Macaca mulatta: one gene and its partners. The protein of the gene in region 2 purifies or fractionates together with the protein of the main gene of each other region. This does not show direct contact. Links are inferred from orthologs where the notes say so. Each region holds a gene or a part of one and is shown on either strand. Other genes may lie near its edges.

What was found. The genes of interacting proteins can lie anywhere in the genome.
Region 1: the proteins of XPO1 (region 2) and RCC1 purify together in Homo sapiens (affinity purification with mass spectrometry; 3 studies listed by BioGRID and IntAct, with this or other methods). This does not show direct contact. The link is inferred for Macaca mulatta from reciprocal best matches to the Homo sapiens genes XPO1 and RCC1.
Region 3: the proteins of XPO1 (region 2) and NUP214 purify together in Homo sapiens (affinity purification with western blotting; 4 studies listed by BioGRID and IntAct, with this or other methods). This does not show direct contact. The link is inferred for Macaca mulatta from reciprocal best matches to the Homo sapiens genes XPO1 and NUP214.

Annotation. Positions count from the first base shown.
Region 1 is NC_133406.1:212,368,683-212,374,278, reverse strand, and holds part of RCC1 (regulator of chromosome condensation), read left to right. Parts: exon of another isoform or gene 1-278; intron 279-3,048; coding exon 3,049-3,130; coding exon of another isoform or gene 3,131-3,152; intron 3,153-3,700; coding exon 3,701-3,793; intron 3,794-4,517; exon of another isoform or gene 4,518-4,722; intron 4,723-5,014; coding exon of another isoform or gene 5,015-5,037; coding exon 5,038-5,225; intron 5,226-5,405; coding exon 5,406-5,585; intron 5,586-5,596. UniProt on the Homo sapiens protein: Guanine-nucleotide releasing factor that promotes the exchange of Ran-bound GDP by GTP, and thereby plays an important role in RAN-mediated functions in nuclear import and mitosis.
Region 2 is NC_133418.1:63,194,976-63,201,139, forward strand, and holds the start of XPO1 (exportin-1), read left to right. Parts: upstream 1-2,479; 5' UTR 2,480-3,113; intron 3,114-6,164. UniProt on the Homo sapiens protein: Mediates the nuclear export of cellular proteins (cargos) bearing a leucine-rich nuclear export signal (NES) and of RNAs.
Region 3 is NC_133420.1:16,415,377-16,420,972, forward strand, and holds part of NUP214 (nuclear pore complex protein Nup214), read right to left. Parts: intron 5,308-5,596; coding exon 5,237-5,307; intron 3,515-5,236; coding exon 3,451-3,514; intron 2,986-3,450; coding exon 2,882-2,985; intron 1,783-2,881; exon of another isoform or gene 1,587-1,782; intron 749-1,586; coding exon 642-748; intron 1-641. UniProt on the Homo sapiens protein: Part of the nuclear pore complex. Has a critical role in nucleocytoplasmic transport.

The DNA.
Region 1 (5,596 bases), on a different chromosome or scaffold from region 2:
GAATTTTGCTTGACCGGAACCAGACCACAACATGTTTGTCAAACTTGTTCTTCCAGAATCAGCAGGCCTGATGGCTGCAGTGGCAGAAATACCCCAAGGAATGACACTCACATGCCGGCAGCTGATGCTCGGAGCAACCTGCCCACAGCAGCTGCCGTCTTAAAGTGCATACGTATTTTTGTTTTTTTTGAGACAGGGTCTCACTCTGTCGCCCAGGCTGAAGTGCAATGGCACAACCTCAGCTCACTGCAGCCTCAGCCTCCCAGGCAGAAGCCATCCTCCCACCTCAGCCTCCTGAGTAGCTGGGACTGCAGGCGTGCACCACCATGCCCAGCTAATTTTTGTAATTTTTTGGATAGAGATGGGGTTTCGTCATGTTGCCCAGGTTGGTCTTGAACGCCTGGGCTCAAGCGATCTTCCCGCCTCGACCTCCCAAAGTGCTAGGATTACAGATGTGGTGGCACCTTGTCTCTAAAAAAATCAATCACATAAGAAAAGATAATAGCTTTTCTCCCCCTCTGATTTTAACAGTAACACATTACCAAAGTTACTGGTGCTTACATGGGGTTGAATGAAGTTACGATGGATATTTCACTTAATGTTGTTCTTGAATGCTTTAATTTTTTACAACAGACTTAAAATTTTTTTTTTTTTTTTTTTTTTTTTTTTTGAGACGGAGTCTTGCTCTGTCGCCCAGGCTGGAGTGCAGTGGCCGGATCTCAGCTCGCTGCAAGCTCTGCCTCCCGGGTTTATGCCATTCTCCTGCCTCAGCCTCCCGAGTAGCTGGGACTACAGGCGCCCGCCACCTCGCTCGGCTAGTTTTTTGTATTTTTTAGTAGAGACGGGGTTTCACCATGTTAGCCAGGATGGTCTCGATCTCCTGACCTCATGATCCGCCCGACTCGGCCTCCCAAAGTGCTGGGATTACAGGCTTGAGCCACCGCGCCCGGCCGAGACTTAAAATTTTTTAAAATACATGTGACTGGGCACGGTGGCTCACGCCTGTAATCTCAGCACTTTGGGAGGCCGAGGTGGGTGGATCACCTGAGGTCAGGAGTTCAAGACCAGCGTGATCAACATGTTGAAACCCCATCTCTACTAAAAATACAAAATTCAGGAAAATCACTTGAACTTGGAAGGTAGAGGTTGTGGTGAGCCGAGATCGTGCCATGGCACTCCAGCATAGGCAACAAGAACAAAACTCTGCTTCAAAAAACAAAACAAAACAAAACAAAAAACATGTAATTGGTCGGACGCAGTGGCTCACGCCTGTAATCCCAGCACTTCAGGAGGCTGAGGCAGGTGGATCACTTGAGATTAGGAGTTTGAGACCAGCCTGGCCAACATGGTGAAACCCTGTCTCTACTAAAAATACAAAATTTGGGCCAGGTGCAGTGGCTCACGCCTATAGTCCCAGCACTTCGGGAGGCCGGGGGTTGGAGGGGGTGGATCACCTGAGGTCAGGAGTTCGAGACCAGCCTGGCCAAACTGGTGAAACCTTGTCTCTACTAAAAATACAACAATTAGCTGGGTGTGGTGGTGGGCACCTGTAATCCCAGCTACTCGAGAGGCTGAGGCAGGAGAATCACTTAAACCCAAGAGGCAGAGGTTGCAGTGAGCCGAGATTGCACCATTGCACTCTAGCCTGCGCGACAGAACGAGACTCCGTCTCAAAAAAAAAAAAAACAAAGCAGGGCATGGTGATGCACGCCTGTAATCTCAGCTACTCAGAAGGCTGAGGCACAAGAATCACTTCAACCTGGGAGGCAGAAGTTGCAGTGAGCTGAGATGCCTGTGCACTCTAGCCTGGCGAGGGAGTGAGACTCCGTCTCAAAAAAAAAAGAAAAATACATATAGTGCTCCTTGTTAAACATCTTAGATAATATAGGAAGTTACAATGAAACAAGTAATTATTATCTATAATACCATTTTCCAGAGGTTACCATTGTTAATATGGGATATATTTTCTTCCCCAGATTTTTCTCATATTTTTTATGTGTATGCATTTTTTTTCCAAAAAAAAAAGGATGATAGGCTGTTTTTCTTTCTTTTTTTTTCTTTTTTTGGTGGGGGGATGGAGTTTCACTCTGTCACCCAGGCTGGAGTACTGAGTGCAATGTTGTGATCTTGGCTCACTGCAACCTCCACCTCCTGGGTTCAAGCAGTTTTCCTGCCTCAGCCTCCCGAGTAGCTGGGATTACAGTCACGCACCACCATGCCTGGCTGATTTTTGTGTATATATATATTTTTAGTGGCACTGGGGTTTTACCATGTTGGCCAGGCTGGTCTCGGACTCCTGACCTCAAGTGATCCACCCAGCTTGGCCTCCCAAAGTGCTGGGATTACAGGCATGAGCCACTGCGCCTAGCCTTTTTTTTTCTTTTTTTGAAACAGAGTCTGGCTCTGTTGCCCAGGCTGGAGTGCAGTGACTCCATCTTGACTCACTGCAACCTCCACCTCCCAGGTTCAAGCAATTCTCCTGCCTCAGCCTCCTGAGTAGCTGGGATTACAGGCGCCCATCACTGCGCCTGGCTAATTTTTGTATTTTTAGTAGAGATGGGGTTTTGCCATGTTGGCCAGGCTGGTTTCGAACTCCTGATCTCAGGTAATCCGCCCGCTCCGGCCTCCCACAGTGTTGGGATTACAGATGTGAGCCACCGCACCTGGCCATCTGTTTTTCATTCTGCTTTACTTGGCAATGGGGAACATCTTTCTATTCAATAGATTGATCTCTGAAAACATCACTTTTGATGACTTCATACTGTTCTATCATGAATATACCACATATTTAACTAGTTCACTACTATTGAACCCCTGGGTGGTTCTGTTTTTGTTGTTTTTACAATGTTATGAAGAATACAGTAGAGAATATTTGTGTAATTGATCTTTGGGTGCATCCATTATTCTGTTCTTGGGATACATTTTGAGAAGTGGAATTGCTGGGCAATTCCTCTTAACCTATTTCTAGGGTTTTTGATAAATATTGTCTAATTGGCCCAGGAAAATGTTTGCCATTTCTGATATGTAGTATTTGACTGACTTTTTCAGGGCAGGAAGATGTCACCCAAGCGCATAGCTAAAAGAAGGTCCCCCCCAGCAGATGCCATCCCCAAAAGCAAGAAGGTGAAGGGTAAGTTGGCCTTGGCCTCTTTGTGGGTACAGGTGGCCCCTCGAAACCCTGAGAACCCGGGACTGGGCTCCCTCCTTCCTGACACTTGAAACTGAAGGGTGTGGATGAGCAGAAACCCCACCCAGCTGGAATGTTTCCCATAGCTCGTTGAATCCCACTCTTTGGCAATCACAAAGTAGGCAGAAACTCCTCCCAAGGCACTTAGGCAGTACTGGCAAAAAAAACTAGACCCTAGGGCTTCACCCCAGCCAGTGATGCATTGTGGTTAGGACCACTGACTTTACGACATGGGTTCAAGTCCTTGCTCTGCCACTTTCTAGCTGATGGGCAAGTCACTTAATCCTGCAGTTTGGATTATCAACTTCATAAAATGGAGGCAGCCAGAGCAGCACCACCCGCTCTGGGCTGTGTGAGGATGAGATGAGATAATGGCCTGGCAGAATTTGAGGGAGGTGGCTGTGGTTTCCTCTCTCCTGGGACACCGGAGGGGCACAGGGAGGAAAGAAAAGCCAGCACTAAACTGGGAGGGGAAGTGTGGACCCACGCTCAGACAGTGTCTGTCTTTTGCAGACGCGAGGGCCGCTGCCTCCCGCCGCATTCCTGGCGCCCGCTCCTGCCAAGGTGCCTGTGGGCCGAGCCCTCCTGACCAGAAAACCCGACCAGGTGGCTCCGCGCCCGGCGCGCCCTCTGTGCTGCCAGCGCGGGCTCCTCAGCGGTGCCACAGCCTCGGGGGAGGGGCTGGGCGCCATTGGCTGCCCGGGACTGCGGGTTGGGGGGCTGCCTTTGGCCCACAGAGGGCCCCGGGCCGCCCACTGGTTGGTGCGCACCTCCTGCAAATGCCGCTGGCCGCTCTTCCTCCTGCCCCTCCTGCCTTTCCACTGGATGGCGGAGGGAGGAGTCCGTTTCTGCAGTGGATTTGCCCGGGAGCTGAACTTACTCACTGGCGGACGGCCTGGGCATGGAGGAGGGCTAGGATGGAGATTGGGCACTGTGCTCTGACCCACGTAGTCTCCCTTGCTTTTGGTGCAGATTCTATTATAATTAGCTTTCGGCCAGGCACGGTGTCTCACGCCTGTAATCGCAACACTTTGGGAGGCTGAGGCGGGCGGATCACGAGGTCAGAAGATCCAGACCATCCTGGCTAACATGGTGAAACCCCGTCTCTACTAAAATACAAAAAAATTAGCCATGCGTGGTGGCGGGCACCTGTAATCCCAGCTACACGGGAGGCTGAGGCAGAGGAATCACTTGAACCCAGGAGGCAGAGGTTGCAGTTAGCCGAGAGCCGCCACTGCACTCCAGCCTGGCAACAGAGGGAGACTCCGTCTCAAACTAATAATAATAATAATAATTAGCTTTCTTTTCTTTTTTTTTTTTTTTTTTTGAGATCGAGTCTCACTCTGTCACCTAGACTAGAGAGGGCAATGGCGCGATCTCGGCTCTGCCACCTCCGCCTCCTAGGTTCAAGTGATTCTCCTGCCTCAGCCCCCCCGAGTAGCTGGGATTACAGGCTACTGTTGGCCAGGCTGGTCTCGAACTCCTGTCCTCAAGTGATCCGCCCGCCTTGGCCTCCCAAAGTGCTAGGATTACAGGTGTGAGCCACCGTACCCGGCCCCTCTTGCCCTCTCCACCAAGATTCATTTCACAGTATCCAGTGTCTCCTTGTTTCCCTTTCTCCCCTTTCATGTGAATAATGTCCTCAGTTCTTAATCTCCACAAAAATCCTGTGAGAGAGGTATTTTGTTGTCCCCATTTCACAGATGACAAAACTTAGACTCAGAAAGTTCATACTAACGGTCTGTGGCAGAGCAAGGGCTTCCGCCCAGGTTTGTCTGATCGCAGAGCCTGCGACCTCTCCTCGCTGTAGTCATCCTCTACACTCAGGGTCTATCTTCTTCACCCTTCAGTCTCACACAGGTCCCACAGCACAGAACCCGGCTTGGTGCTGACACTAGGCCAGGGCGATGTGGGCCAGCTGGGGCTGGGTGAGAATGTGATGGAGAGGAAGAAGCCGGCCCTGGTATCCATTCCAGAGGATGTTGTGCAGGCTGAGGCTGGGGGCATGCACACCGTGTGTCTAAGCAAAAGTGGCCAGGTAGGTGTTGGGGGCTGGCATAGGGTTGGACAAGGCCTGGGATTGGGTGGCTTGGGGCAGGGCTTTTGAACCACACATGTTCACTGTGGAAATGGAGCTGGCTAGTCCAGCGGGGAGTGGCCTACATGAGAATGGACTGCGAGGCCAGACTTTGCATTAATGAGGGCATCCTGGGCACAGGTCTATTCCTTCGGCTGCAATGATGAGGGTGCCCTGGGAAGGGACACATCAGTGGAGGGCTCGGAGATGATCCCTGGGAAAGTGGAGCTGCAAGAGAAGGTGGTACAGGTGTCAGCAGGAGACAGTCACACAGCAGCCCTCACCGAGGATGGCCGTGTCTTCCTCTGGGGCTCCTTCCGGGTAAGGCTGGG
Region 2 (6,164 bases):
ACAGCTCACGCAGCCTCAAACTCTCGGGTTCAAGTGATCCTTTCACCTCAGCCTCCTAAGTAGCTGAGATTACAGGCGCATGCCACTATGCCCAGCTAATTATTGTATTTTTGGTAGAGACCACATTTTGCCATGTTGCCCAGGCTGGTCTTGAACTTCTGGGCTCAAGCGATCCTCCCACCTTGGCCTCCCAAAATGCTGGGATTACAGGCCTATGGTAAAATTGATTTTGTTATATGTCCTTCTACGGTTTTTTTGTTGTTTGTTTTGAGGAGTCCCATTCTGTTGCCCAGGCTGAACTGCGGTAGCGTGATCTTGGCTCACTGCAGCCTCTGCCTCCCAGGTTCCAGCCATTCTCCTGCCTTAACCTCCCGAGTAGCTGGGATTACAAGTACCCACCACCACGCCAGGTTAATTTTTGTATCTTCAGTAGAGAGGGGTTTCACCATGTTGGCCAGGCTGGTCTCGAACTCCTGACCTCAAGTGACCTGCCGAGCTCCGCCTCCCAAAGTGCTGGGATTACAGGCATGAACCACCATGCCTGGCCTATCCTTGTGTTTAAAGTGGCAGTTTCCAAGATCCTCTCCATGACCATGTTAAGTGAGGATTTACTGTATTTGCATATACTGTATTTGTAAACTTCCCGTTACACTTCAGTCTCTAGATTGCTTATAATAGCTTATATGATGTAAACTTTAAATCATCTCTACATTGCTTATAATGCCTTATACAATGTAAATGCTATATAAATATACTGCATTGCGTTTTATTTTGTATTATTTTTATTGTATTATTTTAAAAATATTTTCCACCCAGGGCTGGTTGAAATTGAGGATGGGGAACCCACGGATAGAGGGCCAACTGTACATCACATATCATACATAGTACTTTATATATGTATGTATATATGTATATAAAATGGCTTGATATTATTCATTTATGTAATGAATAAAAACTTAGGTCTGAAAATCATCCAAAATCATTCTGGTGCATCTAAACATTGAGTTGTTGGGTTTTTCTTTATTGGAGGGGGAGTTAGAATAAGTGGTGCTTTGAAGTTAGTCATAGTCCATCGTGAACGAACATTTGCTAAAGAAAATTGTATTACTTCAATAAACCATTTATCTACCTCTTGGTGGCACAAAGGGCCTAGTAAATTTTGGTGGGCTATTTGCTCTTAAGCAAAGAACAATCTGTAAAGCTGATTTGGAGGACGCTTGGGAACAAACAAGAGACGCAACCACGTGAAAGACAACGTGCATGTGACTTTCACAGAAAATACTATTTGGTGATGATTTAGTATGTGAAGTGCCGCTAGGGTGAAAGGAAAATCTGAGTGTTGCAGATCAAGGGCACCAGGTGGGACGCAGTTGGCATGCAAGCTCACCCAGCCAAAACATGCGCTGTCAAACCAATAACCTGGGATTACAATGTTTTGGCTTTCAGGAAAGGTTGGTTGTCGAAGCGGCCAAATTCCAGCCTGGGGAGGCAGAGTTGAAATTTTAAGACTTTCCCAAGAAGTATTTCGATATATTTTCCGAGACCCTGAGAAGATCACGAGGCGCCAAGAATGCACGCCCTGCGCCTCACCCCAACCTCTCTCTCAGCTACCTGGCCCAACCCAGGCCTCTAAAATGGATTAGAGGTCTGGGGCCTACAATTGGCCTCGGAAGTGTTCCTTTCCCTCCTTTCTCCACCCCTCCGAGAGTTCAAAACAACTGGGTGTGCCATCCCTTTTCCGAACGCATCCCCCATCTGAGGGGCGGATCCTAATTCCCGCGGGCTCAGGCCCCCGCAGGTTGGCGGGAGCCGGTGGGGGCGGGCCGGCCGAGTCCGGGAAGCAGATCGAACACCGCCGCGCGCCGCGATCAAACTCGCGCCGCCACTAGCTCACGAGCTGCGCCCCACCCTCTCCGTCACCGAAGGCGCCCAGCCAATGAGCGGGCGGGAAAGGCCGGGCCTGCGAACTAGGCACTGGGAGGGTGAGGGCCGCAGGGGGAAGGGAAGTCGAGAGCTCGAGGGCGGGCTGCACTTGATTGACAGCTCGTTCGAACGAATCCTCCACGCGGCTTTCCTTCGCTCTCTTTTCTACTCAGCCCTGCTCTTCGTCCCACCTCCTCCTCCTCCACCCCTCTCCTCTTGCCTTTCGACCCTCCCCACTTCCCCTCCCCCACTCTGCGGGCAAATCGCTGCTGAAAAGAGGCGGGGGCCGAAGCGGCGGGCTCGTGTGGAGCCTTGAGGTGGGATTGACTGGCGCTCAGGCCAATGAGAGATAGGCTCATGGCGCGGCTGTAGCTGGAACTGACCAATAGGAGGGCGGGCTGGGGGCGGAGGCCCAGGTTCCAAACGCTCCGCGGCGCCATGGGCTGAAAACTCAACCGAGATGGAATCTCCCAGTCTGAACCGGTTTCAACCGGTTCCGAGTTTGAGGCACTAGGAGGAGGGGGAGAAGCGGCTGCAGCGGCCGCGGCAGGAGCAGCGGGAGCTACAGCATCAGCAAGAGCAACAGTAGCTACAGCCCCGGCGGCGGTGCCTGTTCCAGTCTTTGCTGCTGCAGTCCGTGCAACCACCCAGAGGGGGAGGGGGGAACCACCAGTCGCTGAGGAGCAAGAGAAGGGGGGAAAGTTTAGGCGAGCCTGGGGGGGGCCCAGCGCCGGAGCCGCGTGAGAGAGGGAGCCGTGTTTTGGTAGGGGGGAGTCGGACTGCAACTGGCAGCAGAGCGTCCCCCCGGCCGTGTGGACTCTACACCCCCTACTCCTGCCGCTTCTGCTGCTGCCTGTGGCTGGAGGGTCCCCCTGGGGCTGAATCTTTGGGACTTGACCCGGTTCCCTCCCCCTTCCCTCACTCCCCAGCCGGGCGGGAGCATTTATTCCCCAGATTAATTCCCCTTCTTTTTTGGGGGGCGGGTGGGTGTGTGTGTTGGGGGGAAGCGTCCCTGAAATAGTAAATATTATTGAGCTCTTTTTGCCCTTTTCCTCTCCGTTTTTTTAATTTCTTTTTTTAAGGTGGGAAAACTGTGAAACCCACCTTGATTCGTCCCCTCTCCCCCTCCCCACCTTCCCTGGCCCTAATCCCCCGACAAGGAAGGAAGGAGCAGTTGGTTCAATCTCTGGGTAAGTCGACTGTGTCTTTGGGGCCGAGGGTCGGGCGGCGGCGCGGCCGGGCGGGAGGAGGCCAGCGTGGGGCGCGGCGGTCGCGGGAAGCGAGCCCAGGAGGCGGCGGGCGGGCCGGGGGCGCGCCGGGCCCACAGCGGAGCCTGCGATTGAATGGAGCCGCTTTTGCCGCTGGGGGATGGAGGCGGGGAGGCGGCCGCGGGAGGGGAGCGCTTGCTGGGTCATTCGCGTGTGCGGGTGGCGGTGGAGGAAGGCGAGGAGCGTGATAGTGAAACGGGGCCCCGCGCGGGGTGGAAGGGCTTCCCCAGCCCCACGGGCTGGGGAGAAGTTGGGGTGATTTCAGGAACATCTCTGTAAATTATTAGGAGTGGAAGTTTCCAGAAATATTTAGTGCAGCAGCATTGAAACGTCCGCCTGCATCACGTGGCCCCCTCGGTGGAGAGCTTGGGATGGGGGAGGGAGGGGCTGCCGACTCCCTGTTCCTCCAGCAAGGAAACTCGAAAGCTCTCCGGTTTTTTGCAGAGTGGCATGTGAAGTAGGAAAGATGAATTTTTCAGGGGCCTGCACATGGGATTCCGTCTTGTAGTTCCTTTTCAGGGGGTTGTGTGTGATAAGTTGGTTAAACCATTTACTGGTGGCCTCGTACAGTGGAGGATGCCCTGATTCTCCTTCATTCCGATGTCTGAGTTTGGGTTGGGTGGGAGGAAGTGGTGTAGTAGAGGAAGCATTCATTACTGGCTCAGCCCGGACCTCCTCTGATCACGCCGAGGCCATGCTGCATAGAGAAAGGGGCGTTGAACTTAAGGCGCCTGGTCTAAATGCCTCCTCCGAGTATGGGCGGGGTGAGTGCGTGCTCCCGTGTGCTATAGTTAGAAGGGCTGCAAATCGGTTCGGGTGGGAAGCCAGGGGAGGGCGGGCCCTAGTGAGGTGTGTTTCTCCTGAATGAAGCAGGCGGTTGCCCACACACCTAAGGAGCAGTCAGTCTTTCGCCTTGTAGCGACTTGTTTTTTTTTTTCACCTAGTGTGAAGTTATTAAGCAACGGTTATGATTTCCTGGGTTTTGGATAGGAACTGGCATTGGGGGTCACTTGTAGAGTCACAACATTATCCATTAAGCTGGATAATCCCTAGTGTATGTTATCCAGTGAGTGGATTTTAGGATTGAAGAGCCCAACGGGAATGAGCGTTCGTGGTTACACCTCTCCCTCTTTGACTTGTTTGCTGTCTGATTGTATATCTTAAGTGTGGGACGCTGCTGTTAGTGGAAAGAATGTTTTGGAAGCGGCTTGGTTTGGGGGACTAAATGTGCTTGGCATTGACCACAAAGCCGCCATTTCTGTACTATGTACAGTTCAAGAATAGGTAGGTCATTTCGAAGACAGCCGCTAGTTCTAAGGATGGCAAACTACTGTATTTAAATCCTTCTATTCTAAATCTCGTTTTTCACATCAGTCTAGTTCGGAGAATTCTATAAGGACAGTGTATTTGAAAGTGAAACTTGGAAGAGTCATTTTCTTAATCCTTTTTTGTTTTGGCATTAAACTATTGTAGGAGTAAATAGGTGAAAAGTTTGTTCAATAATTAACCGAAATATTTGAAAACTTCTGATACGTAGATCTTGATGCTTTGTGGACATTGCTTTTAAGCCTCAAATAATTAAGATTGTTCTGATCTTTTAAATTTTATAGTAGTTGAAGGTGGAGAGTTTACACATTCATTTGTGGAATATATATTTCCTCTCAGTTTTTAGATCTTAAGGGTTTTTTTTGTGGTGTGTAACAAGTATCCTGCTGTTTAAAAAAGTTTGTTTAATGCCTACTACAAAATATTTTGAAGTCTCATCAGTTTTGTCAATAATGGACCAATTCTTGAACTCCTAATTTCTTGAGTTTCACATTATTTTTACATCATGTCAGTCATAGGTGACTCATTTTTTGGAGTTCTAATCTGTTGTAACAGACGTTATATTTAAATGAGACATTTGCATTAAAATTGAAATTGCTGCCATTATTATGGACATTTTTAAGCTGTTATAAAATAGCCAGGAATTAACGCCTTTTTTCCCCCCTGCCAAGCTAGTTTGTCCAAATACAGTGTAAAGAAATTAGCTACTCATTTTCTGGTCCATGAAAGTTCCTAAAATGGGAAGAAGCGGAGATCTGACCTTGTTAGTTCTAAATACACTAAACCGGGGGTGCCATGGATGGCTTTCAGGATGTCCTGAATCCTCTACAATTGTATACAGAATCATGAGTTTTTAAAAACTAGGTTAGAGCTATTGGTTCCTCAGAGTCTCAGGCATCTTAGACCCCAAAAAAGGTTAAGGACTACTGACTTAACCAGTTAGGTTTGAGTGGCATTGGCTTTGAAGAAAAGCAGAGGAAAGATATTTTTTATAATTCTGGGCAACAAAAAGTTGGATGTGTGCCAGCATCTTAGAGTAGAATCCTCTTAAAAGGATAGCGTTGCATATGAACTAGTAGGTTTTAACCAGTACATATTTTGGCGAAGTAGCTCATTTTTCTCTTAGAATTCTTTTTTATTTGGGAATGGGCAGGCTTTTACAGCTTTTAACTTGCCAATGAATCTTGTTAGGCATATTGCCCGTAAAGTTTTTTTTCCTAGATTATATATTCAGTAAATATGATTGTAGATGTAATTTCAATCCCCCAATTCATTGAGGGTTGAAACAATTTGAATGGTTTGAGTGTAGAAACTAAGTTATTTCTGTAGAGGCTAAGGGGATTTATACCAAGATATGTTAGACTTGTGGTTCCTGCTAACCATTGCTGTAGACGATAGGAATTACTGTATATCCACATTTTGATTTTTAACGTCATTCTGTCTTTTTTTGTTTGTTTTTTGAGATGGAGTCTCAATTCTGTTGCCCAGGCTGGAGTGGGGTGACGCATCTTGGCTCACTGCAACCTCCATCTCCTGGGTTCAAGCAGTTCTCCTGCCTCAGCCTCCTGAGTAGCTGGGATTACAGGCGCCTGCCTCCACGCCTGACTAATTTTTCTATTTTTAGTAGAGATGGGGTTTTGCCATTGT
Region 3 (5,596 bases), on a different chromosome or scaffold from region 2:
GCTAGAGGGATGGAAGCTTTGCTTTGAGTAATCTCCATTCCAGTGGGCAACTCTGCTCTCAGAAGGAAACTTTTAATATATTCCTTGAGTATCAGTATTTTCATAAGTCATCACTAGGGGTTATTGAGAAAATTAGATTTTCGAAATTAGTACGTATTTAATATAAATAACTCAAGATTGGGGAAAAAGAAATAATAGACATTATCAAGAATAAGCTGAAAATACGTTCAAGGTATCTCAGCCTCCATTTTCCTCTATAATAGAAAAGATTTCAGGCTGGGTGCTACAGTTCACACCTATAATCTCAGTACTTTAGGAAGCCAGCCTGAGCAACGTAACAAGATCCCATCTCTACCAAAACACAAACAAACAAACAAAAACTTTAAAACTAAGCCAGGTGTGGTGGCATGTGCCTGTAGTCCCATCTAGGAGGCTGAGGTGGAAGGATCACGTAAGCCTGGGAGTTCCAGGCTTCTGTGAGCTACAATCGTGCCACTGTACTCCAGCCTGGGTAATGGAGTGAGACCCTGCCAATCCATCCATCAATCAATCAATCAGAAAACATTTCAACATGGGACAAGATGACTCAGGCGTGATCTTCCAGTGAGAGCAGGAATGCCCTGTCCAGACTCTCTGCTCACCACTCCTCAATGTAACTGAGGTAGTAATGGTGCTGCCTCTCCGCGCAGCTGCCGTAACAGGGCTCCATAAAGTTCACAAATATCTCTGGGTGCTTTTCTTCTTTTTTCTACAATGAACAAAGCAAGAAAAAAATTAGGTTTTTCTCGGATCCTACAGTAAAAGAATCTCAAATGATAAATCATTTAAAGTTGTATGAGAATATTCACTCAAAGTCTAAGTCCAGATATAGGGACATGGTATAAAGGCAGCACTTAGTACAAGGAGTACAAACATTGGCCATCAAGCGAACCGCATTTAAACTCTGTTCTGCCACTTTCTGTCCATGAGAGAGGCAGATTTTTCAACCTTCCTGATACTTAGTGTTTTCATGTGTATGCTAGATCTCCTAAGCCTACTTCAGAGGCTACTGTAAGTGTAAAATGAAATGATACATATAAAACTTCCAGCCCAGTACGTGAAACATAACTAGCAGTTAATAAATACTAGTGTTAATATTATCCCCTAGAATAGAAAAAACCTCTAACTAATCTTAAAAGAAGGCATCTAGATAAACATTTTAAAAATTCAACCTTATTAGAAACCCAAGAGTTAAAAACAAGGCATCTTTTTCAAATATCAAATTGGCCTCCATTGACACCCAATCTCAAATACGTACCAGTCATCATCTATCCCTAACACAGCTTTATTTTCTCCATCACTCTTACCAGTCCTTGATCTCACACTTAGTATTGACTATCCCATTAGAATGTAAGCCCAGCCAGGTGTAGTGGCTCAGACCTATAATCCTAGTGCTTTGAGAGATCGAGGTGGGAGAACTGCTTAAAGCCAGGAGTTTGAGACCAGTGTGGGCAACAAAGCAAGACCCCACCTCTACGAAAAATTTAAAAACAGCTGGGTGTGTTGGTGCATGCCTGTGGTCCCAGCTACTTGGGAGGCTGAGGCAGGAGGATGGCTTAAGCCCAAGAATTTGAGGCTGTAGTGAGCTGTGATCACACCACTACACTCCAGCCTGGGCAAGAGACTGAGACTCTGTCTCTAAAAAATAAGTAAAAATTATCAACAACAACAAATTTAAAACCATAAAAGCAAGGCCATCACCTTGATCACTGCTATATACTCAGCTTTAAAGCAGTGCCTAGCACATTGTTGGCATTAAAAATTTGAGAGCAAACAAAGTAATTTTAAAAATCAAGATACTGTCTTGCTCTTCTAAAATTTATCGAGTTAACCAAGACCCATAGTTTATAACTTAAGCAAAATCATTTTTTTTTTAACTTCATACCAAAACAATAGAACACGGCTGTGGACACTCTAACTTTGGACCCCAGGCCCATGGTACAGCATGGAAACCTTATACCTGAAGTTGCATAATCACTGCCAGTAAGTAAAAGAACCTGAAATCAGGCCAGGTGCGGTGATGCACACCTGTAATCCCAGCACTTTGGGAGGCCTAGGTGGGCAGATCACTTGAGCTCAGGAGTTCAAGACCAGTCTGGGCAACATGGCGAAACCCCATCTCCACCAAAAAAACAAAAAAAACAAAAAAAACAAAAATTAGCCAGGCATAGTGGTGTGCACCTGTAGTACCAGCTACTCAGAAGGCTAAGGTGGGAGGATCACTTGAGTCCAGGAGGTCCAGGCTTCAGTGCGGTGAGATCGCATCACTGCACTCCAGTCTGGGTGACAGAGTGAGATCTCATCTCAAAAAAAAAAAAAAAAAAAAAAAAGAGTTTCTTCAGATTGTGGTGTATTTTATTGTGCTCCTATGTAAGATGAAGAATTAACTATTAAAATTACATTTTCAACTTACAAAAAAAAAAAAAAAACACCCCACAAACACAAAAAAAACCTTGAAATCAAAGCCTCCAGCTTTATTAGAAGACTTCTCTAATTCTCTGCCGGGCGCGGTGGCTCACGCCTGTAATCCCAGCACTTTGGGAGGCCGAGGCGGGCGGATCACGAGGTCAGGAGATCGAGACCATCCTGGCTAACACGGTGAAACCCCGTCTCTACTAAAAATGCAAAAAATTAGCCGGGCGAGGCGGCGGGCGCCTGTAGTCCCAGCTACTCGGGAGGCTGAGGCAGGAGAATGGCGTGAACCCGGGAGGCGGAGCTTGCAGTGAGCCGAGATTGCGCCATTGCACTCCAGCCTGGGCGACTAAGCGAGACTCTGTCTCAAAAAAAAAAAAAAAAAGACTTCTCTAATTCTCAAACAATGAAATTTCTTTCACATGCATACCGGCAGGAGAGCCATCACCACATCCGGAGACGTTTCCAGGGTCCCATCTGCAGCAGCATACACTATTGTGAAGACGTATGTACCGATCCACAGCACATCCAGAACTGAAAGACACATCTTAATCAGTAGGTCATAAAAATGACAGCAACCAGATGCAACCAAAAGCAACTTATGTTTGGAATAGCCACTGCATGCTATAATACACACCATGGATAAAAAAAAAATCAAAGGCCCAAATTTCATTGACTAAAAATAACTCACAGGTACAAAGATCCAAGAAGCCCAAACTCATCCCCAAATGGTAATTTTTCTGCTGGATTATAATCAGGGCAAATTATGAAGAATTGTAATAAAAAGTTGGGATCCATTTCATGTCATTTACCATGAAACACAGATGTCACCCAGAGGGCCATAATTTACACTGACTTAACTAGCTCTTTGAAATAGTGACATTATTCATAAAGCAAACACCAACACCTCACTGAGCAGGTACATTACATGATTTTGAATTTCCGTAATATACATAACATGTCATTAGAGGTCAGCCCAATAAGAAAAGCAGTTATTACCTCTGACAGGATGATCTGACTCATAAAACGGAGGACAAGGAATGACTTTTTTTTCCTGCAAAGTCTGAAAGAGATTTGGAGGGCAAAATAAAGTATCAAATGAAACAATCCCTAAACCAATCAAACTATCAAATCTAATCTATTCCTTAGATGCCACCTATTCCATCTCCTTGGCCAGGCGAGACTGAAGACACAGAACAGTGCTATCTACTTCCAGGACTTTGTCCTACAGAAATGTATGAACGTGGCCGGGTGTGGTGACTCACGCCTGTAATCCCAACACTTTGGGAGGCTGAGGCAGGTGGATCACCTGAGGTCAGAAGTTCGAGAATAGCCTGGCCAACATGGCGAAACCTTGTCTCTACTAAAAATACATAGCCAGGCATTGTGGCGGGCACCTGCAATCCCAGCTACTTGGGAGGCTGAGGCAGGAGAACTGCTTGAACCCAGGAGGCGTAGGTTGCAGTGAGCTGAGATCACGCCACTGCACTCCAGCCTGGGCGACAAGAGCAAAACTCAGTGTCAAAAAAAAAAAAAAAAAACGCATGAACATGTTCAGCTATAGGTAATGAGAGTAGTCAATGCAACACCATTCACAGCAGCAACACCACTAGCACTGATGCAGATAATCATCAATAGTGGAATAAGGCTGGGCGAGGTGGTTCATGTCTGTAATCTCGGCACTTTGGAAGGCCAAGGTGGGCACACTGCTTGAGCCCAGGAGTTTGAGACTAACCTGGGCAACATGGCAAAACCCTGTCTCTACAAAAAATACAAAAATTAGCTGTGCATGGTGGCAAGCGCCTGTAGTCCCAGCTACCTAGGAGGCTGAGGCGGACGGATCACCTGAGTCCACGAGGCTGAGGCTGCAGTGAGCCATTACGTTATCACAGCATTGCACCCCAGCCTGGGCAACAGAGCAAGACCATCTCTCCAAAAAAAAAAAAAAAAAAAGGCAAACAGCAAAGCAAGAAAATTAAATAAATTGCATTATCTTTTTACAGGTTAGTGCCCTAAAAGATTATGTACCAAATTTCATGTAACTTTCGATAATAACAAATAAGAAACATAACCTTAAACCCACACCACCTACATTCAGCACTCTGCTCCCCTCCTCGCCAGAGAACAGTCTCGAGGAAGAAGGCACAACAAAGGCCTTAGCACCACCTGTGAATCCCTCCTTCGTACCCAGGCTCAATAGATACATGTGGGTTCCTTGCAACTCAATTGATATTGAAGGATATTTGTGAACATTATCTCAAGAAATTCACAGGGAGGATGACAGAGTGCACATGCAACAACAAGAGTACCCATTTTCTTTAGTGCCCATAGTTAGAGAAACAGACCCTTAAAGACGGACTCAGTGAAAAGACAAATACTGTGCTTTAACCCAGAGTGATTCTGCATTATCAACATAGCTTTTTCACTCTTTTCCCTTCAGCTCTGTTTTTATGGAATGGACTGAAAGAGTTGGGGAACAGTGCATAGTGTATTATCGCATTTTACATAAAAAACAAAACAAAACAAAAACGCAGCTACACATAGACTGTTTGTATAACATCCAGAAAAGTCTGGAAGGCTACCTACTCAACACAACACAGTGGGTGCCTCTGGAAGGAGGACTATGGGAAGGAAGGGAAGAGCTCCACTCTTCACTCACTGATGGATTTGTTACAATGAGTATAAATTACTTTTTAATAGGAAAAACAAGAAAGATACTCCCAAACCACTCCCTCAAAAAGCGAGCAACTTAAGAAAAATTCTGAAGTTCAAGATAAGAACTTACAGGAAGATACTGGACCACAGTTCCATTCTGTTTTCCCACTGCCAGCTGCTTTCCTTTGGGGCTCCAGCACACTGAGCAAAGACAATATTACCAAATAAAAACAAGAAAATGGAGCAAACCAATGAGATCTATCACACACAGCTAATTATCAATTCTCATTCCTCTGTCAGTCCATGGAAGACTGTAGGATCATCCCTTTCCAGCAAAGTGGAAAAAAGTAAAATCATTTTAACGACATAAGCCAATTGATTTATCACTGGGCTTACTGAATTGAAAGCTAAAAAAGCTGCAAAATACAGAAAACTCTGTAGTCTTTAGATAAGACAAGCAGAATAGAGAAGGTTTCCAAATACCAGGAAA